Tribolium castaneum: one gene and its partner. The protein of the gene in region 1 purifies or fractionates together with the protein of each later gene. This does not show direct contact. Links are inferred from orthologs where the notes say so. Each region holds a gene or a part of one and is shown on either strand. Other genes may lie near its edges.

What was found.
Region 2: the proteins of homologous-pairing protein 2 homolog (region 1) and meiotic nuclear division protein 1 homolog purify together in Homo sapiens (co-immunoprecipitation; 6 studies listed by BioGRID and IntAct, counting the BioPlex papers as one, with this or other methods). This does not show direct contact. The link is inferred for Tribolium castaneum from reciprocal best matches to the Homo sapiens genes PSMC3IP and MND1.

The regions. Positions count from the first base shown.
Region 1 is NC_087396.1:15,588,558-15,604,201, reverse strand, and holds the end of homologous-pairing protein 2 homolog, read right to left. Parts: exon of another isoform or gene 15,094-15,644; coding exon of another isoform or gene 15,090-15,093; exon of another isoform or gene 14,821-15,089; intron 14,619-14,820; exon of another isoform or gene 14,617-14,618; coding exon of another isoform or gene 14,190-14,616; intron 14,119-14,189; coding exon of another isoform or gene 14,012-14,118; intron 13,966-14,011; coding exon of another isoform or gene 13,861-13,965; intron 13,812-13,860; coding exon of another isoform or gene 13,685-13,811; intron 13,635-13,684; coding exon of another isoform or gene 13,470-13,634; intron 13,416-13,469; coding exon of another isoform or gene 13,289-13,415; intron 13,258-13,288; exon of another isoform or gene 13,019-13,257; coding exon of another isoform or gene 12,963-13,018; exon of another isoform or gene 12,771-12,962; coding exon of another isoform or gene 12,760-12,770; intron 12,720-12,759; coding exon of another isoform or gene 12,667-12,719; intron 12,603-12,666; coding exon of another isoform or gene 12,460-12,602; intron 12,439-12,459; coding exon 11,826-12,438; 3' UTR 11,820-11,825; downstream 1-11,819. Other genes in the region: sona (A disintegrin and metalloproteinase with thrombospondin motifs like), read left to right, coding at 129-400, 7,574-7,660, 11,287-11,524, 11,569-11,819, 12,460-12,602, 12,963-13,018, 13,289-13,415, 13,470-13,634 and 4 more. UniProt on the Homo sapiens protein: Plays an important role in meiotic recombination. Stimulates DMC1-mediated strand exchange required for pairing homologous chromosomes during meiosis.
Region 2 is NC_087399.1:6,489,455-6,505,004, forward strand, and holds meiotic nuclear division protein 1 homolog, read left to right. Parts: upstream 1-8,723; 5' UTR 8,724-8,862; intron 8,863-8,917; exon of another isoform or gene 8,918-9,002; coding exon of another isoform or gene 9,003-9,189; intron 9,190-9,210; 5' UTR 9,211-9,216; coding exon 9,217-9,443; intron 9,444-9,904; coding exon 9,905-10,286; 3' UTR 10,287-10,333; coding exon of another isoform or gene 10,334-10,368; 3' UTR 10,369-10,429; downstream 10,430-15,550. Other genes in the region: Ube4B (ubiquitin conjugation factor E4 B), read left to right, coding at 1-711, 4,472-4,793, 4,846-4,907; heix (ubiA prenyltransferase domain-containing protein 1 homolog), read right to left, coding at 7,513-8,493; Tfb5 (general transcription factor IIH subunit 5), read right to left, coding at 9,003-9,189, 10,334-10,368; hydroxyacyl-coenzyme A dehydrogenase, mitochondrial, read left to right, coding at 10,906-11,019, 11,074-11,650, 13,374-13,612. UniProt on the Homo sapiens protein: Required for proper homologous chromosome pairing and efficient cross-over and intragenic recombination during meiosis.

The DNA of each region.
Region 1 (15,644 bases):
TTTAATGATCCGTGCATTTCTGTATAATGAAGAGTCATATTCTGTAGCTGTGTCATTTCGCGGTTGTTGAGTTGGTCAATAATAAAATCAAATCTGCCAATATGTTACGATTCCTATTTAAATTTCAGTACCAGAATACGAAGTGGTTCACATCCACCATAACGTTAGACGGAGCATCTCGCGGGACATTCCATCAGACACCGAGAATTCGATAGATACGGACGAGAAGCCGAAATACGAAGATAGGAAAACCGAACTGAAACTGAAAGTCTTCGGCAAACACTTGAACCTAACTCTAATCCCGAACCGTGGACTTTACAAGAAGAATAAATTGAAGATATGGACGGTGGAACCGAACGCCACAGCCCAACATGGGGTCGAATATGTTGAACTGCCCGAGGTACGTGTGCACCTTCTTGTTGATGACTCTTTCGGAAATTAAAAGTGTCGTGTTAAACGGATAAACTGAAGCGCCTTTCACTTTGACTAATAATGCCGCCGTTTCCGTACGTAATCTCGTGAGAAAATCGCATTTTTGGGTAAATAAAGTGCCTTATTATGACATTGTCTCCGGTGGGTCTGTCGGGTTATTGAATTAAGCGAAAAAGTAGATGTCCTTGTTGGGAAAAAACCGAAAATAAATATTTATAAATGTGATTTCTGTCGATTTTAATCTTAAAAATAGCTTCAGTAACAATAGATTAGTGTCGAATTTTTATAAATAGTCATAAGCGATGATGAAACACGTGATATTGTTGTTTTAATAAGAAATGTTAAAATTGTTATTTTATTCGAATAGGTTTCATGACCTTTCCGCGAAACACGAATAATTTTCCGGGTGAGACGGACCAACTCAAATGCAGCCAGACTGCAGAAAATTGAACAATTATCTCGTCAACTTTGCACTAGAAACCGGGAGAAATTCAGGTGCATCGAAAATAATATCGTTTGTTGCGGATGTAAAATAATGACAAGTCATTAAATGAAGGGGGAAGTGATCGTTAAGACATTCTAATGGCTAATTTAATTTAAATATTTGACGCATAAAATTATTATAGAGAGAATTTTTATTTTTCACCATAGAAGGTTTCAGTGGCCTTAATAACTTGACTAAGTCGATTACGAGCTAAAAGGTTGGCTTCACCACAGTATATTAACTGCAATATAAACTTTGTGATTCATTGTAAGTAAACAACAAAAGACGTCTGCATGTTAATAAACAAGAATTTTAGTGTGAATAGACCGGACGAAGGTTGTTCCGTTTCCTATCAGTTTTGTGATTTCTTTATTAATAAACATAATATCTAAATGTTTCTTATAAGCAAGCTTAATTGTTTATCGAGAAATGGTAGCCGTGCAATCAATATAATGAAATAATTAAATCATTTTGTAAGATCAGCCACTAGACAATTTTTTTAATAATAAAACTAGAAAATTAATGGCAAAAAAAAATTAATTCTTGCGTCTCAGACGTTGACTTCTTACTAACTCAGAATTACGCGAAAATGCAATCTCTTTCGGTTTCAATTCCAATAATTTTTTTATTTAAACAACTCATTAATGTATTGCTGGTAAAACTATAAATATTTTAAGTAAAATGCTTCATTATACAATCACTCAATGACTCTTCACTAATAAGATATAATAATTTAATTATTAGATATTATTAATTCCCTCTGTAACAAATTAGTTAGGTACATTTTGTTATGCTATAGGAAGTACAAGATTTATTATATCGTTAACGCTTTTCTTTATTTTGTAATAAATAATAAGCCATTACTCATTAATTTTTTATTGACAAATTTATTAAGTTACTAGTGAATATTCTTCTATATGGCGAAAAAGACGTATTAAGGGTGTATCTGTGACATAGTTAAGCAAAAATTATTTGAAAAATTAAAAGCCAAATTATTGTTTCCTTCAAAGAGTTACATTCCATCCTTTTTAACTTTTATATAACAATTTTTGGTAATGTTACAGACATAACATGTTAATTCTATTGCTGTATTTAGTTTTGGTTTAATTCCAAAAATCACTTTTAAATAATAGCCCATTCAAATTCCACCATTCTGTGGAAAAAAATCCCAGAAAGTTGAATTTTTTTAAACGTTTCTTTTACACTTGGGTAGACAAATATAGAAAGTCCCCAAGGGTGCGTGGCAAGCTCGAAGAAGGGGAGGGGGTTAAGCTGTCTTTTTTAGTTTTTCGCTTATAACTCGGAAAGAATCACTCTTCTTATCAAAATTAAAGCTGTTAAAATTTCCTACAAAAACGTCTTATGCATTTTTCTTGTAGGAATAACCATAAGCGAATTATAGGACTGGAAAGAAATTCTATTAAATCTCTGGGTTATCCTTACATGCGGAATTTTGGTCTTCAACTAGAGAGCCCGAGAAAAGAAAGTATTTTTCTTCCTTATTTCCCTTTCTTAGTTTAGTTGGGGACGCTTTACATACACTATTTCCATATAAATACTTATGATATACTAATGTTTAATAATCCAGTGTCATGTAGACACCAAATTTCAAAAGCTAGTAGCTCACCTACGGTTAGTCCTACAACAATAAGACTAGGACCATTTTGTAAAAAAATTTATCAACTTTAATTTTGGTAAGAAGATAAAAATTGCTAGGAGTGATCGTTTCCGAGATATAATCAAAAAAACAAAAAAGACAGCCTCCTGCCAAGTGTAAAGAAAGCTTTTAAAAAAAATTCAACTCTCTAGGAATTTTTTTACACAGATCGCCTTATTTTTGTCTAATTTGACTGAATTTAATGTTTCAAAAATTTTTATCTGATGATGGCAATAGTTGATTAACATAGGTATAAATATTTTAATTATCACTAAATTCGGTCGAAAAAATGAATGAAATTCATCGATTAAAATATTAATAATAAAGTTTTGTTGTTCCTCTAAAATAAGATATCTTCCCAATATAATTGCATAGAACAGGATGCTCAGTAAGTACGTCTGTATACAAAAAAAAAACGCTGCAAGCTATGTTTCCATTGTTGTTTATCTAATTCAAATAAATATAAATGCCAAATGCTACGAAAGAATTTTTAAGACTAGCTTTCTACACCTTTTCCAACTGTATTACAGTTTCAGAATAGCCAATAGTATTTCAGATAAATCAAATGAAGTTCAGAAAGTATAATTGAATATTTCCTAAAATACGATTGACTAATCTGAAAAACATTCGCTACTTTCTGAAATGAATCTGATACATTCTGGACTATGATAGGAAAAGGTCATGAAAAGCTGTAGAAGCAAAAGTCAAAATAATTCCAAATTTCACTGATTTTACTGATATTTGAAACAGATGTTTCGGTTTGTCAAGTTTACTACTGTGATTATTTGTATTTGTTTAGTAAAAAAAGAAAATGTATCGCAGTATATTGAAAGAAAAATGGGCAAGAAAATAATTATGTAAAAGTGAGGATGAAAGGGAATCATTTGAGAAGCCGATGAGGAAACAGTCAGTCAATTCGAAGCAATTTAGCCTTAGACCTGTTCAATTTGCAATCGAAACCATCAAAAATCGCGACTGAACCACCATAACCGTCCCATTATCGAATCATTGCAACTCAACAATAAAAAAGCTGTATGCTAATAAAATTACTTAAAATAATTTCGCAAAATCGTTGAATAACCGAAAAGTGCAATAAGAAAGTTCCTTTTTATCTCGCTTCCTCGTACTAAAATTTCCACCGCTTGTGAAGTACGTCTTTTTATAGAAGGTTATGGTAAAAATTTTTGTTTACATCAGCGTCGATTTTGAAGGACAATTATTTCATGCCGTGGCTAAGGTCGTGCTTTTTTTCTCTTGAAGCATTGTGGAGAAGTGAATTTTTCAATCGGATCGAAAAATAATGTGCAATCGAGCGTGATGTCTGTTGGCCAACTGAAACCGCCACGGATTGAATCATCAGTGCATTTTTTGGGCCTTGTGGGGAATAGTTTCCTTATTGGCTTATAATTATAATCGGGCGACAATGACCCTGACGATGTAGCTCACCTCCGCCGAAACGAAGACGAGCAGAGATTTTAACAGATTTTTGAGTGTCATGTCGGTTGGAATTTTCGTACAAGCCGTCCCAATGTCAGGCTGGCAAATCCCATAAGCAAATCCCAACTAGGTCAAACGCCATTAGGTTAGCTAACAGCTTTCACTCTCGTAGGTATTCTGTTATAGCAACAGACAAACTTCACCGAGAGGAAAACGAAAATAGCTCAGGGCTCGGTCAAGGATTCGTCAGTTTTTTATCATCGCTGATTGTTTGGGAGGTGTGACGGACCTTCGATTGCCAATTGATTCAGTCTTGCCGACACCCTCCATTTCTGAAACCGTCACAATGCGAGCTTTGTCACGGATTTTATTACAGTCACACGACGAAATCCATTGTTCTGCAATTTTGACGGTTAATTAATGACGAAAATAAACCTAGTTTCGCAAGCAGGCCCCATGAGTACGATGTTAAAGGTGGCTTGGGGGCGTACGGGCTTTAAAATCGAGACATGTAACTTATGTTTCTTGTTTACGTAAATTGCCATGTTGCGCGAATTACAGAACGAACAAATGGTTCGTTTGGATTTTTTGAAAGTGGCGTGTGGAAATACGTATCAATGCTACAGGATGTGCACTTTAGATACGTTCGGTTCTGGAAATATCAGACATCCGAGACAGGTGGCCAACACCTAGGCGATAAAGCCATGATCTTGACATTTTCAATAGAAATGACAATATTTTAGCCAAAAACAAGCTACGAAATTGCTAGGAATGTATAACAAGCTAGTTTCAGACTTGAATTTATACGACAAAATTATGTCAGCGTGTCAAAGACAGGTACATGTCCCAACAATGAAAATCAATTAAAATTCCTTTACGTATTCAAAAAAGCTAAAAAATTCGTTTGAAATTCATACAATCCTCCTCATCTAGGTAATAGATTATAGTCACGTTGCAACTCGGAAAATCAATTATGCATGATTTGTGCTAAAATTGCCTTTAATTTGCTCGACACTTAGATTATTCTCATAATTCCAGCAACGTTAATTGTCCAAAAAGTTAACTACTCCCATTTAATAACAGTTTAAACAAGTTATTCAAGCATAAATGTATGATAATTTGATTGTTATTTTATTCTTTAATTCCTATTTTAAGTTTCTTTGTAAAAGCAGAGTGAAAATTGTTACCTGTTGTGAAAAACCTACGTTTGCCACTAAAATCTATTTTTACGAATATAACAGGATTATGAAAATTATTTGGGTTCATAGCGGCACAAACCTTGCCGAAGAACTTTCTCTATTTACGAACATGTTATTTCGTTATAAAATCTCTCCAATATTTATTGCTTATTGGCTTTGCTGATTGCAATAACAATGTTTTATTAAATAAAGTTCTATCCTGATTCCTCTAGCTATTAGAAGACGGTAAATGTATTGATTATTTAAATTAACCAACAGGATACAGATATGAAAAGTTAAATATTTATATGCTCAGACCTTATATTTTTATTTGATTTTTATCCGAGACTGTACGCTTGTAAGTTTTAAGTAGTGTCATTGATCCTAACTTTTGCATTTTTATAAGCATTATCTATTAAATCTTTGAGGTTTACGACCAACCTTCGTCAAAACACCGTGATGTTTTCCGTACAACAAACAGCTCGTACTTTTAATTTTTAACGGGGTTAGAAACCTTCATAAACTGCGGATTAGCACTTACATGGTAATAATTTCTGACCTCTTAAAAATATACGAGAAAAAGCATTTTCGTGGCACAAATTCCAGTTGAAATAAGACATAATCAATCACAATTTAATGCATAATTTACGACTTGTGCAGGTGAACATAATTCACTCGGCAAAATGAAAATATCGTGAACATTGCAAAAGTAATGAAAGATGTTTCATCACATTTCTGATTTGTTCCCTTTAAGTAAAATTCATAGATCTCAGTATTTAACTGTAACTGGAAATTAAATAGAAACAAAAATTGCAAAATTATTTGTATAATTGACTTTTCTCTTCATTTCTGAAATACGTAGCCTCGGAAGTGTTATTAATAAACTGAAAATAAAACTATTTTTTTGACAAAGTCGTATAGGTAGCTGAAACCCCTTAGTATCAAGATAAAGTTCTTTCATTTAAACAAGAAGTGTTTTTCTGGAAAAGTGTAAAAGCTAACGAATAATGAAGAATCCTTGGGTTATAATAACAATATAAATTTCCTTCCAGTATTCAAAAATTAAATAATGTAAAATATTACAAAAATATGGTAACATTAAAAATTTATTAGATTATTATGTACATCAGTGGTCCATGTTAGCATAATATATGTTGTCAAAAAACTTTAGCTTGAATTCACAACCAATAACACTTGCCTTTAACTTATTCTGATTCACTGAATCTAATAATAAACTAGTAGTTCAAAACAAAACTCACTCCTAATCAATATTTCTGAATTCGTTACTTTACTCCCATTATGCTTCCACTCCCATCTGCATTACCAAAGGTGTGAAAGAAAAAAAAACAAAAGAATCTGAATGGTTCTATTATATCTTCAATAATGTTTATATAATACCTCTATCATAAAGTTATTTGTGCGTGTCATCGATGTAATAATATATCGGAAATGTCAACCACAAATATTAAATAACACTAAACATTTTGATTTTTCCTTTATTGTACATTTGTAATTACAGCAACAGTTATTATAATAGTCATACCTTCTATTTAAAATAGCATTGAAATGTAAAAACGTAGTTCACGTAAAAATAGCATCATATCTTATGAAATATTAATAACTTCCATTATTAGAAACTAAAATTCACAGTTTAGATATATGATCAAACGTAATAAAGCTATCAAACATTGTAAATGAATTAAAATTTATTCAGGAACATATTGTACGTACACAGATGGTTCTCATTCACACAGTGACACTATAGGAAGGTTTCTTAACTTAAGTTTCACTATTATCAATAAAAAAATTTTTACTTCTGGATAATGATTAATTCCGAAATTAATTAATTGTAAGTAAAAGTAAATGCACAGGAAATAGTGCATATGTAACTAACATTTAAATAAAATAGACAAATATGGCACGAAACATAACTACGCTTTCTGTAGTTGATTTCTTTGATTTTCTTCGAGCTTTTTCAATCAGCAAAATAACTAAAACTAAATAACTATTCTACGGCCAGGCGAAATGTAAATATTTAGTTTCGTCGAGAGTTTCGTGTACCAAGTCGCCAAATGCCATGTTTATTCAATGGTTGTAGACAAATAATTCTTTAGTATATAGTTGTTGGCACATACTAGAAGATGGAAAATCATGCTGCAAATATTTTGGTAATTCGAAAAAACGAATGCCTTCCCGTCACCGTGTAGTAAACCATTACGGAGCGGGCATTTTACATAAATCTACTTGTTTGAGTTGCGTTCCTGCATTCCTGTCGCTAGTTTATGCGCCAGTTGGGTTACATTTCACCGATATCGGAAATAACTCAAACAAAGCGAACAAAGCCGGTCAAGCCTTGCCGAATGAATAAATCTCTTCTGTTTTCAGACTGACGAAGATATCGGCGATATCTACCAAGACGAGGAAAACCAAGCTGCCATTTTGCTGAGGAACCACAACGATACCGTGATTGTGGTAAGTCTGATGCAGAACCTTGGCCTTTCTGTCGTTTTACGTAAAAGCAAGTAACAGCAACGGCAAATTGCGATAATTAAAATTATTAATCGAGCATGATATTGCACAACGAGATCGGTTCCAAGTGGCCAACTCGTTACCAACGTTGCGGTCAAGATAAACTGGGCCGAAATTTCCATACTGGCAATCGAAAGGCGAAAATACAACAGAAGTAATTGTAACAAGGAAAAAAATCGGAAAAACAAGAGCTATTTATTGGTCAAAGCAAGGTAATAAACGGCGGACAGGAAATGCGTTGCACAAATAATGTCACTGAAAGTGAAAACAACAAGGTGGGTTTTTTATCGGGACAATTCGGTACGGGTAATTTCTAATGGCTAAAGCTGTGCAACCGGAGAATTAGATCCTTTATTGACATTTCATGATGAGACCGGAGTTGCATAAGGAGAAACGTTCTCACGGTGGATGGGCCGAATAATACGTTTTCGTCAATTAGCTGCGGTTTTGGACGTTTGAACTTATCAAATCTCGAATCGTATAAAGGACCCCAATTACTCCATCAATACTGAAAGTTGCACTCTGTCGTGCTGTAAATTAGTCAGAGATAAAATCTTGTAAAATCATCACACAAAAAGGTCAATTTATGTAAAATTAAGGAGTCTCCGGGTCGCTGTATCTGGTTTCAAACTGTCAATGTTAATTAACGTGAATAGTTTGATACAGAAATTTCGTTGCCCGATCAGAGCTAATGGGAAAGCTATACGGCTAAAGGTGACCAACTGATCACGTTTTTTTACTTAACCTTTGAACTATCAAATGGTCGAAACATGATCCACTTCTAATTTTTCAACGAGGTTTTCAATAAATATTGCAAAAACTATTAACTTGTTAACACACCACCAAGGCAGTTAACTAAAAAAATCGAGACAAAAAGTTAGTCAACACCTATTGTAATCATTAGTCAGTAGTTCTAATGATTTTTAAATCTGTTGAGTTTCTTTTCCTAAAAAGAATAAAATCGAGAATAAAACTTAAAACAGTTTTGCTCGACTCTGAAGGATTTGGTTGGGTCATAAAGTAACAGAGTAATTAGCACACTTCTAAGACAAGAATGGCAATCACGCAATCATTTCTAACATACATATTTGTACATTTTTCACAGCGTATTCGCATTTTTTGCTCCTAATTAATTGATTCTTTAATTGATAAAATAAGTAAGCGATAAATTAAACAACTACAGTAAAGTTGGACCGTACAGCGCTTTAACTAAAAGCACATTTAATTGTGAGAAAGGATTAAATACGGGAAAACAAAACGAGTAAAAATAAGGGCGCTTTCAGCGTTGGCCCCCAAATTATTTCACATTAAACTAGTTCACTAAGGGCCGGTTTGAAAAAGCTTTGTTAAAATTTAATCCGTTGTTAAAAAAATTCAAATTGGTCGAATATGGTCACGTGACCAGTTAATCACGCATTTAATTGCAGATTAAATCAATGACGCTTCTATAAACCGGCCCTAATTCTTTGGAAAAATTGCAGGGCCAATAAGTCGTAATATAAGCTGAGAAAAACACACGAAAAAAATATTAAAGACCGGTTTATAGAAGCGTCATTAATTTAATTCACAATTAAATGCGTGATCACGTGACCAAATTGAGCCAATTTGATTGGTCAACTCGCGTTATTAACTTTTAACAACGAATTAAAGTTTGATGAGGCTTTCTATAAACCGGCCCTAAAAGTTTTAAAATAAGCGCTCATATTTTTTTCAAAAAACTCAAATACGGTGCCGGGAGAAAACTTAAAAGCGATTGAAACCTAAACGATTAAAGATAGAGTTATGGTCTTCCGGACTTTTTTGAAGGAGCATTTTTTGTAACTTGGACAGTACTCGCTTATTACGAGTATGTCCATTGTGGAGAGAGAAAATTTCTTTTATTAGCTTTGTGTCTTTGACATGTCCAAGATTATAGTCACGACTTAATCTCAGTTAAAATACACAATATGCTAGTTCTATCAACTTGCTGACCGAGTTGTTTATAAAAATAACTAATTTAACTAGTGCCCATTGCGATTAAGTGTGAGAAAAAGTACTCGTAAATGTTCAATAGTTTGAACTAACTACCTATAGAGTTTTTCAAGTATTTTCCCAAACGTTATCGAAGAAAAATTATTTTATTAAACAAATTATTCTTATGAAATAATTTAAGTGAGCATTATTGTTTTAACCTTCCCGTACAAGTACATGGCATTACTAAATCTCTAATTACACCTAGATTTTAAAAGATATAAAAAATTACAGTGTTTAGTATCATGTCGATCTAGATATTATAATTACATTAAAGTTAACCCGCAGGACTAAGCAAATTTCAGTGATTATAATAATAATAGCGTTAAAGATGATAATTTTCTTAATACTGTTTAAATTGTATACAAAGAAAATATAAAAACTGCAACAAGCAGTGTCGCAACACGGATTAATTTTAGCACCAGTGATAATTTATGACAATACTTTTTATTCTCAATGTAATTTAGTTTATAATATTGCATAATTTAAAAATACCAAGGAGTAATAAAACCCGTTTGGCTACTAATATTACTATGCTGTGCAATAGAAAAAAGTCAGTGTTTCTTGTCAATCAATAAATCTTATAGATACATTAGAATATCAGAATTACCAGGAAGTAAAATCATACGGACTGACAATAACACCTTTATTGGAGTTTCTAAAAGCGCGAAAAGGCAACATGTGTAAATGTGTAAACATATAATTTACGACGATGATAAACCAATAATGCATATTTTTCCGGTCACTAATTTTACAAGTTGTGAATTAGCATTAACGGCGCCAATTAAATGTACTTATAATTTATTTGGAAAGTGGATAAAATATATCATTCAAATAAGACAATATAATTGGGTAATTTATGTTATGCGCTTATTATACTCGCAGTTTATGGCGTTTTAATTATTCGTGTATCACAAATTAAAATTAAATTTACGAGTATGTCACTCCCAAGCGAACCGAGCAAAACAATGGGAAATAATGGCTAATTAACAGCCAAGTGTTTTACAAATCCTGTCAAGTCTCGCTTTCGTAATTCCAATCAATCAACCCGCGTGCAATCATTTTAAATAACGCCGCACACGTCCCGCTAATTACAGCTATCAGCTTCCACATGTTCGCACAACTATCGAAAAACCTTGCCAACCATGTTCCTCTTCTCGCACGTCGAAATGTCTCTTGACCGATTTATCCGTCGGTTTTATTGCTCATCATTGACCTCTCGCCCATCCCAAAGCCGGAGAAGAAGTTCAAGGTCGCTGTTGACCATCCGTGTCCCATGAAGGGTCGCGCTTACCTCAACACTCTTGAACTCTTTCGGCGCTCAAAAAAGTCACGGCTAGTAAGTGAAGGTCCGGTGCGTTATTGTCTCGCACATGTATTTTTTCTTCGAACACAATGCGAATTTTAGTGTCTTCACCTTGACCAGAATATGTGCGTTTGCAACGAACGGCCTCACATCAATTGACCCATAATTGCTTATTTATGTTATTAGTTGGGTAACGCGCGTTAGGAAATGCTCTTTTCGACACTTTTGCGCAAGCCGATTGTTTGCATTGCAGGAGGGTAGCATCGGGGCCGATTTGGTCATACGGCCCATCCCTCCGCGGCTGCTGGACGCGAAAGACAAGCCCACGCACGACGATGACGAAATGTTCCTGGACGCGGACGGCGAGCTCAGCTCGGAAGTTGCAATCGACACGGGGCTGCCTATCAAGAGAAAAAAGCAAAAGATCCAAGGGCATCGACACATAGTGTACAAAAGGAACGGAAATCATGAAGATACAATGAGCGATTACGGTAAGAAGCATTTGCATATTGAGCGGTACTTATTCACTATTTAGCCTTGATGGAGCCCGACCATTTGGCCAAAAGACACAAAAGGAGCACCTCGCGCAAGAAAAGGGAGGCCCCATACACCATCTACCCCGAAATTTTAGTCATAGTAGACTACGACGGGTATAGGCTGCATGGGGGCGACAATTTACAAATCAAACGGTATTTCGTCTCGTTCTGGAACGGCGTAGACATGAGATACAAACTCCTCAAAGGACCAAAAATTAGGATATCAATAGCGGGGATTATAATAAGTAGGGTAAGTTCACTTTATTGAAACCTTAACTTTGAAATTAACATCATCATCGGTCTCGATCCCGATGTCTTCGAGGAGAGTTTTCTTCGATTTGGGGTAATTTTCGAAAATGGCCTCGATCATGTCCGTGCACCATCTCTTCCGTTTATTGTATTCTTTAAATACGGTCCGGTATTCCCTCTCGATTTTCTCTTTATCGAGCGACTCGCTAGTACCACCTTCTAGTTTCGACTCCATTTCTTCAACCTCTTCTTCCAGCTTCTTCTTCTTCTCCAATAGCTCAACCTTGCTCAACGTTCCTTCCAAATCTCGCAAACGGGCGCTCTTCTCCTCCAATTCGTTCTGAACGGTTTTGAGGGTTGCAGCAAGATTGCTACACTGGCGCTCCATTTCGAACGTTTTGGACGTCAAGTCTTTCAAAGGCAGTGACGATTTTTGCGGCACGCAGTATATTTTTTGTTTGCCACAGTTCTTCTCAATCACTTTGTTCTTCTCAACTAGCTTGTTAACAGCTGAAACAACTTGACTCTTACTGAGTTGTTTGTTGAACCCTTCCATTATGTTGTTGATGGTGTAGGGTCGGTTCTGGTCGTACAAAAACTGGAGGATTTCGTCCATGATCCTGAAATAACATTTGTTTTAGGGGCGGGATGCAACTCCGTATCTGGAACGCAACCGGGTGGGGAGGGACGCCATCGACTCGGCGGCGGCTTTGACGGACATGGGGAAGTACCTCTTCAGGGAACGGCGGCTCCCGGTGTACGACATCGCCGTCGCGATTACAAAGTCAGTATAACGCGGGAACTTATTTTTGGTTTGTTTTTGTCAGATTTTAACCACTTTGACTTAGGTACGATATGTGTCGACGTCGAAAAGGCGGCCGCTGCACCAAAGGAACTGCCGGTAATAAAAATTAAATCGCGTGTAAATTGCTGCTACTAACCCGGATCGCATACACCAACAAGATCCGGACTAATCGTTCTAACTAAATGTCTGACACGCAAAATGTGACGATTGTGGTGTTTAGGCGTCCGTGTTTTTGTTAATTGTTCTTTAGGTATAGTCGCTCTGGAGCTGAGGAGTAAATAACAACAAAACACACAAATCACACATTTAACCATATATGACCGGGTGTGTTTTTTACAGACTAGACATGTGCAGAAGGTCGTACCCCAACGATGTCTGCAATCGCGGCACGGCAGGTACGAACAGATAAAGGCACGATCACTTGTAGATTCCGAGTTGAATTTTCTCGATGTAGTGTTTTGGCACCCCGTTTCGATTACCACGCCCGCTCTATAACCCCATCCACATTACATGACACACAAACTCTAACTTGACTAATTCATTTAACCAAACTAATTGTTTGTTGATGGTGGTTCGAGTTTTGTGAGACTGCACAGAACTGCTTCAGGCTCTTCTGGTGATGGGATTTTTTCCAAAAAACTTTGTTCTAATGTGACTCTAAATAGGGTTTGCGTACGTCGGAGGTGCATGCGTGGTCAACAAAAGACTAGAAAAGGTCAATTCTGTTGCCATCATTGAAGACACAGGTGGCTTCAGCGGAATTATAGTCGCGGCTCACGAAGTGGGACATTTGTAAGATTCAAACCCCAAACTAAAAATCCTCAACTAAATTTTTCCCCACTATAGACTAGGAGCAGTACATGACGGAAGCCCTCCACCGTCGTACCTCGGGGGCCCAGGGGCCGAAAAATGCCAATGGACGGACGGGTACATCATGTCCGATTTGAGACACACGGAGCGGGGCTTCCGGTGGTCCCCTTGCAGTGTCTCCAGTTTCCACCATTTCCTCAAGTAAGTCACAATTTAACCAAAATTTTTCCTATTGATTGATGGTTGTGTAGTGGTGACACTGCCACCTGTCTCTACAACGTGCCCCACGAAGACGACAGTTTGCCAAGAGTCCTCCCAGGGAAACTCCTCACTCTCGACGCCCAATGTCGTAGAGACAGGGGAACAAGTGCATGTTTTGTAAGTTAGTCTAATGGGATAAAACTTTGGTTGAGGTGTTGAATTGTAGAAAGACGACCGGGTCTGCGCCCAACTCTTCTGTTTCGACGCCAGTAGCGGCTATTGCGTGGCCTACCGGCCCGCGGCTGAAGGTTCACCTTGTGGTGACGGCCAAGTAAGTCCCGCTTAAGTTTTTCGTTCGTTAAAAAATCCTGTTTCAGTATTGTTTGAATGGTCGATGCGTGGCTGAGCACGAGAACATAATCCCCGATTATACGCAGAACACACCGTCTTACATCCGAAGCGGAAACAACCAGGGTCGGCCTTTGTAAGTTTGTTTCATTGCCGATTATCGCCGGTTGTTTGTGACACAATTAACATGATTTACACTTACGACAGGTTTCACGAGGACGACGAAGAAGTTAATCAAAGACCCGAAACACCGAAATATTACGATTACACGACACCCCCCTACAACCCGAACCCACCCTCATACAACCCCTACACCACTCCGAGACAGTTTTATCAGTTTTCTACCACCAAGTCTCCTTACGATTTTAACGATTTCGCTAGGCAGTACACTAGTAAAAATCCCTACCAAACCACTGAATCTTATTACAGTCAAACAACCCCTAATCCGTATGTCGGTAATTATTATCAGTTGAGGCTACAGACCACTAAGAATCCGTACGATTTCGCTAATTTTGGAAGAAACAATTACGACATTAATAACAATTACTTGAAGCGGTCGTACAATACCGCTAATTATTACAGCGATAGTAGCAATGTAAGAAATAAAAGTGCCGTGTTTAATAGGGGAAGATAAGGGTAAGACTTTGTTAATCGCCATACGTCATCCTGTAATCGTCGTAATTAATCAGCATGGTATTTACGTGTTCACAGCTTATTTCAATCTCTGTTCTTTGTATAGTCGTGAAAGTAAAACTTTCCCCTTCGATTCTTATGTCAAATTTATTATCTCGATAAATGACGCTATTAACACAAACCATACAGACTTTATTACACTTACACTTTATCCTTCCTTGTGTACTACCAATAAAACACCAATTATTTACTCTCATTTTTGTGAACTTACTTGGGCCACCTAGCAATCACTTGTTCCAACCACAGCTCCGAACTCAACTTAGTTTGCACTTCCGAATGGTTCAGAATTGTGGTTGGAACAAACCTTTTGTGAATTGCTAAGGATGGTCCCCTCTGACTTTGTTGAATCTTGTTTTTCCGACTTGTGACGGTTTTTGAACAAAAAACTAATCTTACTTTGTATTTCTTTTCCAGTTAAGGGAATAAGCAACACACAAATACGTAAATTTAAGGTGTGATTAGGAATGAACCAACAATGGAGAATTCTGTGCCTTAAACAAGTGACAAACGACTATTTAATTTTATTTTTTGTTTGAAGGACTCATAAAACCGTATTGTTAAATTAATGGTAGTTTTAGTGTGAACAAATAGTTTATTTACTTGTATTTGTAATGTAAATAGTTTGTACGTTTAAAAATATACTGCCAATTCTCATAGCATCAAGTATTGTGATGAAGTATTTATGTAATTGTACCATATTTATCAAAATGGCAGAGTGCAATTTATTTTTAAGTCAAAATTTTACATTTGTTTGTTATTCAAAAACCAATAAAACCCATCAAAAAATACCAATTAAATCGTAGTTAAGTTCCTAAAGTCGCAACATGATTGTAAATGACTTTGTAAAAATTTGTATATTTGCCGCAATTAAAAATACCGACCAGCCATTTACTCATTTATTTCAACAAAACAAAATCATCAGAAACATACACAACTATTCGTAAATATAACGGATTTGCCACATTTTAA
Region 2 (15,550 bases), on another chromosome or scaffold:
TTCATAATAATCCCAACGTTTCAACCGCGTTGCGAAATGTTGTACGACCGTTTCATGTCGCACGAAATTTCACGAAGTGTGCTACCCAGTGCCCTGATGAAGTTCTACACCGATGTCGAAACGACCGGCTCCAGTTCGGAATTTTACGACAAGTTTTCAATCCGTTACCATATCAGTCTCATAATTAAAGGCATGTGGAACTCGGCAATACATCGCCAAACGCTCGTCAACGAATCAAAATCAGGAAAACAGTTCGTCAAATTCGTCAATATGCTAATGAACGACACCACTTTCCTCCTCGACGAGAGTCTCGAAAGTTTGAAACGCATCCACGAAGTGCAAGAGTTGATAAGCGATGAGGAGAAATGGTCGAAAATGAATTCGGAACAGCAGCAAAGTCGGATGAGACAATTGACAGCCGATGAGAGACAGTGTCGCTCCTACTTGACTCTAGCTCGTGAAACTGTCGATATGTTTCACTACTTAACGGTTGATATTAAGGAGCCGTTTTTGCGACCGGAACTTGTTGATCGTTTAGCGTCGATGCTTAATTTTAATTTGCAACAATTGTGTGGCCCGAAATGTAAAAATTTGAAAGTGAGAAATCCGGATAAGTATGGCTGGGAGCCGCGACGGTTGTTGAGTCAATTGGTTGATATTTATCTGCATTTGGACTGCGAGGAGTTCGCCGCCGCTTTGGCCGGCGATGAGGTGAGTGTTTAGTCTGCGGTCCGCTCCGGTTGTCAGACCTCGGTCAAGCATACAAAATACGTTCCCATGATCGTTAGTTCCGTTAATGTCACCAGAAAAAATAATTGTATTTGTATAATGGTCAACTCTTTGCAAATAAAAAAATTACAGGCAGGTAGAGTACTAAATTCTCAATAGTAAGACATAAACATAATGCAAAAATTTTATCGTAAACTACATTTAAAAAAAATTGGAACTTTTACCAATCTGCACTCTATTTCAAATTTTTCGAAACGCTGCGAATAATAATTATTATAAAAGCCTTTATTAAAGAAAAAATGTGAGGAGGCGAAGTCTAGCTAGTGTTATTCAACTTAACCTCTCTCAAAACAAAACATAAACTATGAAATATAACCCAAAATTAACTAAAACTAGAATAATTTCAAAGAGAAAATCAACCGAGAATAAACAGAAAATTATATAATTTTTTTAAAGTAAGGTGAAAAGAAATAAAGTATTAATAGAAATAATAATACAAAATGGAAAAACAAAACAGCAAAAGAACAATTACCAAAATAATAAATATTTCAACTTTATTTGTTTTTTAAGTAACTTTACTAGTTTTGACTTCAAAAGACTGTAAAAAACAGAACATCGACAGCCGGCAGACATGACGTAGACTTACATTGTGCAGAAGTTTTCACTTTAGGTAAAAATATGTTAAGGAGAGTGAATCATAACTGCCATCAAACAAAATGAAAATCAAGTTTTAACCAATTTATGTATTTAAAGTTTTTTAATTTTAGAGAAATATGATCTTATTTCTTAAGTTTGAAAATAAATGTACAATTATTTTAAATTTTTTGTAAGCAAGTTTTGTAATTAGAGCCAAGACAAGGGTAAAAAAGTGTGAGACAATAATTTATAATTGGTAATACAAGTGTTTCACAGAGTTTTTTTTCTTAATTTGAAATCAATTATAGATACTATGGTTTGGGTTTAGTAGACGCAAACACACGTAACTATTTTTTACCAAAAGAGAGACATGACATTTGAAACGTAATTCTTGATCAAAACCAACGCCCATTAATTTTATACTTTTGACAATTTTTAATTTAGAATTTTCAAAATGTATGTTTAGATCAACGTCATTTAATTTACAATAAGGGCCCTAAAACGGAGCCTTGGGGTACCCCTAAAGTAAGTCTTCCACAGTATGATAATAAATTATTCAGTTGAACAATAAACAGAATTTTAAACAGTTTTACTAAAAACCCATAAACTTAAGTTTGGCACAAAGCAATGAATTATTTGTTTTATCAAAAGTCCACTAATGACAATGCAGTATATCCAGTAACAGTGTATCTGATAGTTATCTAAAGTATTAGTTAATGAAGCATTTGTACTGAAACCTTTTCTAAACCCCGATTGGGAAGAAGGAAGAATATTATGAAAAATATAATTTAATTCTTTACAGATTTCTCCCGAACATTTTTCTTGTATCTTTAACTGATTCGCAAAATACGGGACGAGGCGCAAATTTTAAATCTTTAATAATTTTTCCCATGTTTCTTATAAAAATTTAGCCACCAGTTTTTCTCAGTCTCTCAAGAATGCAAAGCTTAACATCTCTACAGTAATTAGTGATTTGGTTGGATTTCAATAAGTTTAAAACGAAGCGCCCTCATTTTTACTCTGCCGTACTATTTTTTGCATACAGAAAATCCATCAAGTTAGTCCTCCGTGTCATGATAATTGATTTAATTTACGGTTCTAGGAATAATGCGCTGTTTAAATAGTAAGCAAGTTTTGTAATTAGAGCCAAGACAAGGGTAAAAAAGTGTGAGACAATAATTTATAATTGGTAATACAAGTGTTTCACAGAGTTTTTTTTCTTAATTTGAAATCAATTATACTATGGTTTGGGTTTAGTAGACGCAAACACACGTAACTATTTTTTACCAAAAGAGAGACATGACATTTGAAACGTAATTCTTGATCAAAAACAACGCCCGTTAATTTTATACTTTTGGCAATTTTTAATTTAGAAATTTCAAAATGTATGTTTAGATCAATGTCCTTTAATTTACAATAAGGGCCCTAAAACGGAGCCTTGGGGTACCCCTGAAGTAAGTCTTCCACAGTATGATAATAACTTATTCAGTTGAACCATAAACAGAATTTTAAATAGTTTTACTAAAAACCCATAACCTTAAGTTGGGCACAAAGCAATGAATTATTTATTTTAACAAAAGTCCACTAATGACAATGCAGTATTTAAACCAGTAACAGTGTATCTGATAGTTATCTAAAATATTAGTTAATGAAGCATTTGTACTAAAACCTTTTCTAAACCCCGATTGGGAAGAAGGAAGAATATTACGAAAAATATCACGTAAATGCCAAGGAATATGGGAGTTTTCACGAGATTTTAAACCAACATTTTTTACTTTTTCCACAACATTTTATTAATCTTATTTAGAAAAGCCGTTTTCTTGGTCTCGCGGACTTTTCTAAAAGAAATTTAATTCTTTAAAGATTTCTCCCAAACAGCGTCTTAAAAAAACAGGACGAGGCGCAAATTTTAAATCTTTAATAATTTTTCCCATGTTTCTTATAAAAATTTTAGCCACCAGTTTTTCTCAGTCTCTCAAGAATGCAAAGCTTAACACCATTTATTTAAACAATAAGTTTAAAACGAAGCGCCCTCATTTTTACTCTGCCGTACTATTTTTTGCATACAGAAAATCTATCAACTTAGTCCTCCGTAACATGATAATTGATTTAATTTACGGTTCTAGGAATAATGCGCTGTTTAAATAGTAAGCAAGTTTTGTAATTAGAGCCAATACAAGGGTAAAAAAGTGTGAGACAATAATTTATAATTGATAATACAAGTGTTTCACAGAGTTTTTTTTCTTAATTTGAAATCAATTATACTATGGTTTGGGTTTAGTAGACGCAAACACACGTAACTATTTTTTACCATAAGAGAGACATGACATTTGAAACGTAATTCTTGATCAAAACCAACGCCCATTAATTTTATACTTTTGACAATTTTTAATTTAGAATTTTCAAAATGTATGTTTAGATCAACGTCATTTAATTTACAATAAGGGCCCTAAAACGGAGCCTTGGGGTACCCCTGAAGTAAGTCTTCCACAGTATGATAATAAATTGTTCAGTTGAACCATAAACAGAATTTTAAACAGTTTTACTAAAAACCCATAAACTTAAGTTTGGCACAAAGCAATGAATTATTTATTTTATCAAAAGTCCATTAATGATAATGCAGTGTTTAAACCAGTAACAGTGTATCTGATAGTTATCTAAAATATTAGTTAATGAAGCATTTGTACTGAAACCTTTTCTAAACCCCGATTGGGAAGAAGGAAGAATATTACGAAAAATATCACGTAAATGCCAGGGAATATGGGAGTTTTCACGAGATTTTAAACCAAAATTTTTAACTTTTTCCACAACATTTTATTAATCTCCCAAACAGCGTCTTAAAAAAAAACAGGACGAGGCGCAAATTTTAAATCTTTAATAATTTTTCCCATGTTTCTTATAAAAATTTTAGCCACCAGTTTTTCTCAGTCTCTCAAGAATGCAAAGCTTAACATCATTTATTTAAACAATAAGTTTAAAACGAAGCGCCCTCATTTTTACTCTGCCGTACTATTTTTTGCATACAGAAAATCTATCAAGCTAGTCCTCCGTAACATGATAATTGATTTAATTTACGGTTCTAGGAATAATACGCTGTTCTTTGCAGAGATCTTTCCGGAAAGATTTGTTTGACGACGCAGCGGCGCGATTAGAGCGCCTGTCAATCAAAACTCCGGTTGAGATCGAACGGTTTAAGGCCTTGGCCGATAAGGCGTATCACGTGTATCAAAATAACCAGAAAAGTGATGACTGGATGAGCGACGCCCCTGACGAATTCAAGGATCCCTTAATGGACACTTTGATGACTGATCCTGTGTTGTTGCCCAGTGGGCAGGTGATGGACAGGTCCGTCATTATGAGGCATTTGTTGAATAGCAGTACGGACCCGTTTAATCGGCAACCATTGACTGAAGATATGCTGCAGCCAGGTTAGTTTCAAGTTGCTTTTTCGTAGGGGAATTAAAAATTTGGATGTTGCAGTGAATGAGTTGAAGGAGCGCATTAGGATATGGAAATCAGAAAAGACACGTTCGGCAAATTAATTTTATTATTTTTTGGTATAAATATAATTTTTGGATAAAACTGAGTTTATTTCGACCGGAAGGAAGGAAGGCTGAGAATCTCGTTTCGTTTGCATTTGTTCCTCAAATTCATACTGCCAAATTGTTGCTTTTTTAGTTCAGTAATTAATGCCAACTTATTGTTTGTCTTGACTTTCCCCCAGTCCGGTGGATTATTTTTGTACATAATTATACAAAACGCAAAGTGAGATGTACATTTTTTTCATCTAATCGAATTAACTGTTAGTGCAAACAAATTTGATTGTTTCCCGATATTTTTTCTAGATAATTTTAGGTTAAAGCTTGTAGACACCGAAATAATCAAATTTATTTGTAATGAAAACAAAGCAAAACAATTTTTATATGAAAACGTAGGTTAGTTTGTATGTAATGGGTCAATAAAATTTATACAAAAATCAGATATGTGTTTTCGTAAAAGCCCTATCATGCAATACTGTCTCGGTAACTAGAGGTTTGTCCGACAAAACAGCTCGTAAGTAAAAAACGGTTCAGGACTAAAACTTCCGCAGGAACAAACCTGTAAATCCCACTAGACCAACAATTTTAAATGCTATGATTGTGCTATTATCACTACCGAAAATTGTGCTAAAGGCTGTCCCTGACGCGCTTTGAATAATTGATTAAGTCATAAGCCCCGAACAAGCCGCCAGGTGGCCAACCCACACACTACGAATAAATTATTTGATATTTTTACGCAGACTTTTCCGTTATTGTCAATTGAAGTAGTCTGAGCAGTGACTGGAAGAGATGCGATTGCAGCGCCCCCAAACGTCAAATGGCGCCTACTACCACTACCAAGCGTTTCGTTTAATATTAGTCTAGACACACAAAATAAAAACAAACGGAAATTATAATGATTTACTATAAAATCTCTTACACAACGTCATACAAAACTCATCAACATTAACAATAAATTAATCAGCTATAAAAATACATGATTTATAATTGGCCAATCAGGGACTAAACCCCGCCTTGAAAGAGCCAATCACCTGATTAGGTTCAGTCACGACCAGAAAGAATGTCACCCCTACGAACCACAGCAATGATCTTTTAGGTCATAAATGTAAATTTCACATCATCGAGTGTTTTCTCGACTATTAGATTTTAGGCCCCAATGATATTAAAATCGTATAATATACATGTAATTAGAGTCGGCGTACAGAAAACAAGTTAAAATTTATTCCAACGTTAAATTAATTCAAAGTAAGTTACCATTTACCTTGCATTGACAAAGTCAATCTATAGGAGTATGTTCATATTTGAAAACTAAAACAGTGAATTTATAATTAATTCCAATAATAATTTTTCATTTAAAATTTAAAAAATTGTTTCTAAGCAAACATAATAGTTATTTAACTATTTGGCATTTTTCAATACGAAATGTCTGACTATTCTAACAGATTTAAAGCAATTTCAAGCCTTGTTGAGTCAAATTCGAAAAATAAATGTTGTATTCAACTCGTTTTCATGTAAATCGATTAATAAAATAATTTTTTTTATTACGAATATATAGAATTGGCCAGCAAATATCGAATTTACCTTTGCAAAGTCAAATCAGTCAAAAATCTGTTGCTTCAAAACTGTAAAGTTTACTTTAAATTTTGAGGTTTCCAATTTTTTTTTTAATTTGGCCAAATAAATGAATTTCTAGCTTAAAAGTGTAAATTTTGCAAAACCTTTAACTTTGTACACATTTTCTGTGAAATAATTTTTCCACGGCCAACATGGCTGCTTTATCCGGCTCGAAGGACCAAATATTAGTAAGTTCATATTGATAGAATCCATAAATGGAGAAACATCGTTATTATTTTTTGCAACCGTTTTGAATAAAGAAAAATTCCAGCCGAGGCGAAGCCGAGTTTCTTTAACAACTTGCGGTTAAAAACGGATGATTCGTTTTAAGTAAGACCCCATTTTCGGTTTGTCTGTGAGCGACTTCGTCCTTTTGTATAATCACTTTTTTTTAGAATTTTATTGGTAAATACTTGACAAAAGACTAGGACTTTTAGAAACATTAAATTAAAGGCAAAATTTCTAACAAAAAAAAGATTATTTAAAGATAAGTAAAAATTTATAACAAAAATGTTTCAAAAAATAGAGGGTACTATTTAAAATTTTAAATTAAAAGTGGCTAACAACTGGAACAGAATGTAACTAACGTTGGTTTTGAACTTTAGTACACCTACTTTTGTTTAAAAATAAGTAAATAAGTACTACTTAAAAAGCTAACACATTACGTAATACAGTTTTGATCATACTTGGAGTAAATAGACTACATTTATTAATTTACACGATTAGAATATCGTTGATGTTACAAAAGTAAAAACCCGAAATCATGTTTATTGACGTTTACGACCCAACAGTTTATAGGGATGACATTCTTTATGATCGTGACTGTTCATTGTCATAAGTACAATAATCTCGACGTAACAAACGAAAATGAGAAGGTATTGCGGCTTGGACCCCAAGCCGCAAACCCGCACTAGCGCCCCCTTTTGACGCAGTTCCTCAACACAGTAAAAAATAACTTAATAGAAATAAATACAACTAATAAGAGCTCGTACATCTATCTTTTGGTGACGTACGGCAGCGCTGGAACCAAACTACAGGCCAGCACGTACAAAACACCGAAAAACAAATTCAATTTGGCAGTCTTTTTGGGCACACTGTGTATATCGTTGGATCTGAACTGTTTTTCGATTTTAAAAGCGCTAGGAAGCGTGACTAGAGGCAACATGAACCATTTCGAGTATTTCAACGAGGCCACCATGAACATGATATACGGGGTGAACAACAAAAACGCGTACAAGACGTGCGAGGCAGTGTGGCCGATAATAATCGCCAGAGTCACAATTCCCACCTTTTTGTCCGACTCAGAGTCCCTTGTGTTATTACTATGTAAAATCGCCTCAGTATTAAGGGCCAGAGGGATGGCGTAGTAAATCGTCGCCCACTCGACGCGCCCCGTTTGCGACATGAAGGCGAAAAGCACCGAAATGGGGCCGAACAAAATCAAAATAAGCACATCCCCGAGGGCTATATACTTGAAGCCTATACCTCCCGTGTAGAGGAAGCTCGACGACAGCCCCCCGAAATAGACCAAAGCCAAGTGCTCCATCTTCGCGGGGCTCAACGCCGCCAAGAGAATGAACCCCACACAGCCGGCAAAGTATAAAAGGGCCCCCAGAGACACCACCTCGTCTTTGGTCAGAATGTGGTCCACCAGGATCCGGTCGTCCGATTTCCGGTTGTCGATCCCCTTGACGTAGTCGAAGTAGGTGTTGACGACGTTTCCGGCGCCGTGCACCGACACCACGGTGAAAATTGTGAGCAGGAGGGTGGCGTAGTTGAAATCGGTAACTCCGGGGTATTTGTACGCTATGGTGGAGCCCAACAGTGTGGGCATGAGACTGGCACTGAGGGACCACGGACGCAAGGCTAGCACGTAACTTGATAGCTTCATGAGGCCCGATTTTTGGCCGTTTTGGCGCTTGGGAGTGGTGGAGCCATTGGTGAGGAGTTTCTCGCTGGGGGTGGGCACCGTCATGATGGGGGTAAATGCACTGACACGGAACTTAACACACTTGATGATTTGTGGCCGAGAAACGCGTTTTTTCGTTTTATAACTTTGACAAACGGAACATAACCAAAGAAGTCAATTGTGACGTTTGACATGTGGCTGTGGTTACGTCACGGCGGCTATTAAATCAGGGAAAAATTATAATTAGTGACACGTTTCCGTTATCTATTGCTTAATTCTATTCTTATCATTTGTGTGTAAAAATGTTCGTGATGGCGTAACAACTGTAGAATAGTCGGTTATCAAAGAAGCGTAATTGTAGCCACTTCCAATTTACAGGGAACTGTATTATTTGTACCGACAATTTGAAAAAACAGTTAATTAGTGCCTTATTGCGTAAGTATGGACGAAAACCGGCCCGCAACGATATTATTTATAGCAAAACACGTCATTATATAAATGCTGCGCTTTTTATTTATAATTCGAATGACCACACATCAATATGACATAACCTCACTTTTGCAAATTACAAAAAATTAATTGCTTTTTTCGGCGACTGGGAAGCTAATTTGGTCCATCAGATCGTCGATTTTTGCCTGTAATGTCTCTAAAATATCGGCTGAAATAAATAAGTGGTTTTCATCCAAGTCCTGAATTATGAATTTTCGGCCTAGTTTTGTAGTCTCATCTAAATACAAAAGGAATTGTTTCATGGCCTGGTCACTGAAACAACGCATTTTTTAGGGGAAAATGTTCAAGAAAAAAGGTCTAAGTTTTGAGGAGAAAAAGGCTAGGATGTTGCAATTGTTTCACGAGACTGGGGATTTTTATCAAATGAATGAATTGGAAATAATTGCGCCAAAGGAGAAAGGAATTACGGCGAATTCTGTGAAAGAAGTGGTCCAAGCTTTGGTGGATGATGGTTCTGTTGATAAGGATAAGATCGGGAGTTCCGTCTACTTTTGGGCTTTTCCCAGGTAAATATTATACAGGGTGTCCGTTTTTTTGAGAAGTTGTGCATTTGTATGCAAAACAATTTCTGAAAGAAAATTTTATGTGCCATTTTTAGTTTTTGAATTATTGAGAGAAATTTAAAAAAATGATTTTCGTTTTTATTTTTTTCCCATAAAAAAAACGAAGTTAAGTGTTGTAACTCTGACATCAAGCAAGCCTAGGAAAATCCGATGACAAATTTAGATTCCTTGTAAAAAGTGCCCGAAAAAGTCCTACGTCTAGTTCTTTTGGTTTTCACTTGAAAAAATAAAAACGAAAATTACAATTTTTTTTTTCAAATAATTGTTCAGCATAAAAATGCGCAACTTTGCCCTAATTTAACCGACCTCGTATCTCTTATAATAACGGAGATCACTGAGATAACTGGGAGAGTGTCCGAAAAACGGTATAGACGGGCCAAAAACACGTTTTATCCTAATTACAGCAAATTACTTAACGCGAAAAAACGCAAACTTAACGAGCTTCAAACGAAATTAGAATCGTCAACAAAAAAATTGAAATTAATTGACGAAACTATGGAAAAAGCGCAGGTGGGGAAAGAGAATTGGGACGACAGCCAGATTTTGAAGGAAATTGAAAAACTGGAAAAACAGAAAGAAAAATTCGAATCTCTGTCGAAATCTCACACAGATACTCAAAATTTGAAATTAATGCAAAGTGAGATAAAACCGGTAAAAGAAGCAGCAAATCGATGGACTGATAATATCTTCGCGGTCAAATCATGGTGCAAAAGGAAGTTTATGATGGAAGATAAGGTTTTAAATAAGCAGTTTGGGATTCCCGGAGATTTGGATTATCTGGCATGATTGAGGTTATGTCAAACAAAAACTCAAAAAAATTGTTAGGGCCTTACCAGGTCACCAAAACGCCTTTCATTACATTAACCATTGTTGATAATCGAGAATTGTGTACTTTTTTAAATCAGAAATAAATTATTTTTCTTACAAAAGTTGGTGTTTTTATGACATTTGACAACTTATAGAATGCAACTAACCTCTCACACGTGTATTGCTGATTGCATAATCACAAATTTCCCCAAAATTATATTTTTTTTCAAGTATTTCTTTGAAAAAAGTGGATAAATTGATAACAGGGATTGCTATATAGCCCCATTTTGGAACCCTCCTGTGTACCACTTGACTGAATGATGTTGCACTTTTATTACATAATACCTAAATAAATTCAGGTACAAAAGTCGCACTCGTTATCGAAAGCGGATTATTTTTAAACCATCGGCACGATGATTTTCACTTCTGAGCCCTAATCTCGCCATAAACGATAAAATGATTAAAAAGTACACAAACGTAGCGGTGGGAGTCGATCATAGGTTACAAACTTGGACTTTCACCTAGTTATTGTATCGTTAATAAACCAAACAAAATCCGCATTACACACCACTTTTTACTCGTAACCGAACGCGAAAAAATGGCCCTAAACCTGTTCATCAAGCGAAGCCTTTCAACTTCAAGCCCCATGAACGCAGTTATAAAAAACGTAACTGTGATCGGGGGCGGCCTCATGGGCTCAGGCATCGCCCAAGTAAGTGTACCCCAAACCACCCGAACCTAACCTAACATTCGCCCCCTTGCTTAGGTGGCCGCGCAAACCGGCCACAACGTGACCATCGTGGAAGTCAACCCCGACTTGATCAAAAAAGCCGAAGACAGCATTGCGAAAAACTTGGTACGAGTCGCCAAAAAACTCCACAAGGATGACCCGCAAGCCGCTAATAAATTCGTGAGCGAATCGCAGGCCCGGATTAAGGGGTGCACCGACATTGCCGAAGCTGTGAAAGACAGCGATTTGGTCGTGGAGGCGATTGTTGAAAACATGGATGTTAAGCACAAATTGTTCAAAAATTTGGATGAGGTCGCGCCCCCCAAAACCATGTTTGCGTCAAATACGAGCTCGCTCTCGATTACCGAAATTGCCTCCGTTACGAAGAGGAAGGATAGGTTCGGGGGGCTGCATTTTTTCAATCCCGTGCCCGTTATGAAGCTTTTGGAGGTTGTTAGGACTCCGGAGACGTCGCAGGAGACGTACGAGGCCTTTATGGCGTGGGGCAAAGCCGTGGGCAAGACCTGCGTCACCTGCAAGGACACCCCCGGGTTTATTGTTAACAGGCTTCTGGTGCCCTATATAGCAGAAGCCATCAGGATGATGGAGAGAGGTAATAATTATGTAATATTGAAGCTCGAAGCGAAGCTGAGAGCTTTAAGGTTGCCAAGCTTGTGGCAAATACAGGCGTTCAATAAATCTGATACGACTTGAGTTACACAAAACGAAATGAATTTTTGAAAATATTTTTATTGCCAATAAGGCTCTACGAATGGAAAATAAATCGAGTTATAAAATACCGAAAAATTCTTCAGACTTCAGACTGTCAAGATGAAATTTAGGATTTTTTTTCCAAGTAAATTTATGTCAACCCGGTTTTTTTTCTTATTGGATTTTGAGGTTTTTTTCAAAAACTTAGCAAAATCTACTGGTGAAACAACATTATGATTAAGAACTATGTATTTGTTGAAGGTCATTTTTCAAAAAAATCCTCGAACAGGTCGAGCTTATTTTTGTAAATGCTACATGGTAACATTTGTGACATCACTGGTTTCTCAATAATGCCGCTATTTTTAATTTTTTTAAATGGGAATCGATATTTTTGGTTACTGTTTTTTATAGTAGATATTACTCTTTTATCTTTATAGTAAGTGCAAAAAATTGAAGTGATAAATAAAAAATTTAGAAAAAAAAAAAATTTTATAAGGGGCGATTATTTTTTTGCTTATTTTGAAAAATCAGAATAATATGAATTTTATGCGTTACTTTAGACACACTCTATATATCCAAAAATGCACAATATAGGGTGTTTTATTTAAAAAATATATAAATTTGCATTGTACCTAACATTTTTTGCTAATCTTTTATTGAAATATTTTAACATAACGACAGTTAAAGTTTGATTCAATAACTTAACCTTCACCAATATAAAAAAAATTAGCTGAAAACAATACTATCTTATAATGTTATATATTTTTTCTACTCCCATTCCTGAAGTGATTGATTAAAAATGTTTGTGACCTGTACTTTAATGAAAATCATTATGATACTGGCTTGTAACCAATGGTAATGCAGAGTAGTGACCACGAGGACAACTTGTGACCAATGAGAATGTAACATGGCAGCAACTATTAGATTGCCTTGAGTCTGACTTTAAAAATAAATTAATCATTTTGAAAAAAAATGCAAGTCTTTTAATTTTAATCAGTCGGATCGTAAAAAAATAGTGTATGTAACTCGCATTTAATTTAAAACACTCGTACGACACTCGCTAAGGCTCGTTTCATAAAGTTGCTATTTAAGTTGCATTAACCAATGTCAAATTACTAAGTATTCTGTTAATCATATACTAAAATTTGATTTTTAATTTTGTGGAAAAACAAATGTTTGAAAATTTCAATACACAAAATCGTTAATCTCGTTTCTAATTTTCTTTTTATAAAAACCCGATTTTTAAAATTTTACTATGAATTAATATTTTATTTTAGGTTTGTTATGTAAGCGAGCTAAATTTTTAAATTACATTTAAATAAATAATTAATATGTGATCAATGTTGTGGCAAATAAAGTTTTTCTAATTGTTAGTTAAAAAATTTGTAATTTGTATAGTTTCATTTTCAAAAAAATTTGCATACATAATTTTTAGAAATTTCTCAATATCGGTAAGTAGTACTTTATGAAGGCAAATACTAGTCAAGACAGTAACATCTCTAAATAAAAAAAATAAGGAAAACGGCATTACCTTACTATTTTTTTTAACGGCAGTATACAGTAATTACAAGTCAAAATTTTGAAAGGCTGTTAACACAAAAAATATGTATGAATTTTTTTCGAAGGTGATGCTTCGCCCCGCGATATCGACACCGCCATGAAGCTGGGGGCTGGCTACCCCATGGGCCCCATCGAACTGGCCGACTACGTGGGACATGACACCTCGCACGCCATCATGCAAGGCTGGCACAAGAAATTCCCTGATAACCCCCTTTTCAAACCGAACGAATCCGTACAAAAACTAATCGATGAGAAAAAACTGGGCGTGAAAACCGGCGAAGGCTTCTACAAATACACCAAATAAATATCTATATGTATTTTAATCAAATAAACAATTTTTTAATTGATTTGTTTACTGATGTCGATTTTTCCTCGTGTAAAATACTGTTGGCAAAGCCGCGAAGGTTCGATCGGATGTCATTCATGCCGTTCTATTTTCGTAAACCGAGTGATTTATTTTATTGAAAAGGTCTCCTCGAGTCGCAAAAAGTCAGTCATCGTTTTATTATCGTCGTATTGTCGCTATAAAAACACATCTTTAATGTGTGTTCTTAAAGTGGAGTGAAGGACGACTTAAAAATACATGCACAGAGATTGGGCGAATTAGCGGCGAGTACACGATTTTTTCGAGTAAATAAACTTTCGCGATTTCCGGTTGAAAAAACAATTAACACGTGGGTGCGAACGTTGATAACATTTCCGTGAAATCGCAGTCAATGCAATCGATACATCCTGTTTGAGGAGATGAGCGAAATTTATTTCGGCGGTAAGTTGAGGGCGGTTCTCGGTAATTCCCCTAATAAACACGTCATGGCAACAACAGACCTAAAAATCTAGTTCAAATTTCGCGCCACAATGCGTTGGCAATGAAAAAATTAAACAAACACTTGTGGTGTCAACAACAGTTGGCTAGATTAGCCGTTTCGTACAAATTGCCAACATAAATCGAGTGGGATTTTCTGGCGAAATTTCCATTTTTCATCACCGGAGAAAGGGAGTCAATTTTTTACTTCTATGGTTGGCGACAGTGCGCATGCGCCTTTTCGCGTATAAATAACTCGTCAAGGTGTCAAATTTGCACAAATCAAAGTGACGTGGTTTTGTTCACTGTGACGGTTCAAGATTCGCCCAAAACGGTTTTCTTTAAATAAAATGAACATCTTGCAGTGCTCTTTGTGCAAATTTGGTTACAAAATACGCAAATTTTGGTTCGAAGTTGAGTAGGTTAGTGGTTTTTGTGCCCTGGACTATCACCTGGAACTGGCCACATTTTTTATATTTTATGTTGTATTATTTTTTTGAGCTTGTGTTGGATCAAATTACATATTTATAGCGTCAAAGACCCCGCTAATTGTGTTCAGGGAAAAAGTGAATCATATTCTAAAAATATTCGTGAAATAATTTTTTTTTCATATTTTTTATTCGGGGGAAAGGTCGCGAAGGGGCTGTTGACCTCCGAACAAGCGCCTAACGGTCGTGACAATTGCACTTTTTACAAATAATTGCAATTATCAGAGTGACCTATTAAATTCGCCGATTTTTATACCGGGTGTTCTGGGAAAGTTATTAGAAAGCGTCTGATAAGGATTCATGTTGCAAACTTTGTCCCTAATAAATCTAATTCAAGTCAAGTTTAAGGCTCCCAAATTATGTCACTGGAAGATTTCGCCGACTCTCTTAGGCGCAAAATTTATTACTTGGCTTTAGTCATCAAGGTGACATTTTCCTTCATTTGCCAACGAGTTTTATTGTTGGAAAATATTTAATTTATCTCGGCCCCGATAATGAAAATACCTTAACGAGATTATTCAAGGGTCAACTATGTCTTGTTGAATAAACATTGCATTTTATTATGCAATTGAAAAACGTTTATCCTGAAACGTTAAAATAACAATCGAGTGATTGTTATGATAAGCGAGGCACTCAAGCGAATTTATGATGATGTTATGCGCTAAGTGAGTGTTTAATCGATAAAAATAATTTTTGTTTGCAATTCTAAAAGGATTAGGGGACATAAATTTGGCACCCACGAATTTGGTTCCCCACTTGGCCATGATAAAACAATTACCATGCATCTTACAAGCTTTTGTTAAATTCAGGGCCAACCAATATTAAATTATTTTGCAGTCATGGCGCGCGTGTAATTGTTTCGAACCCTTTGCAATGTGGCTCAGTTGGCCGTGAGAAATCGAAAGTTGCATCTGTCATTAGATTGTACCCACACGATGAGAAAAAAATAAAC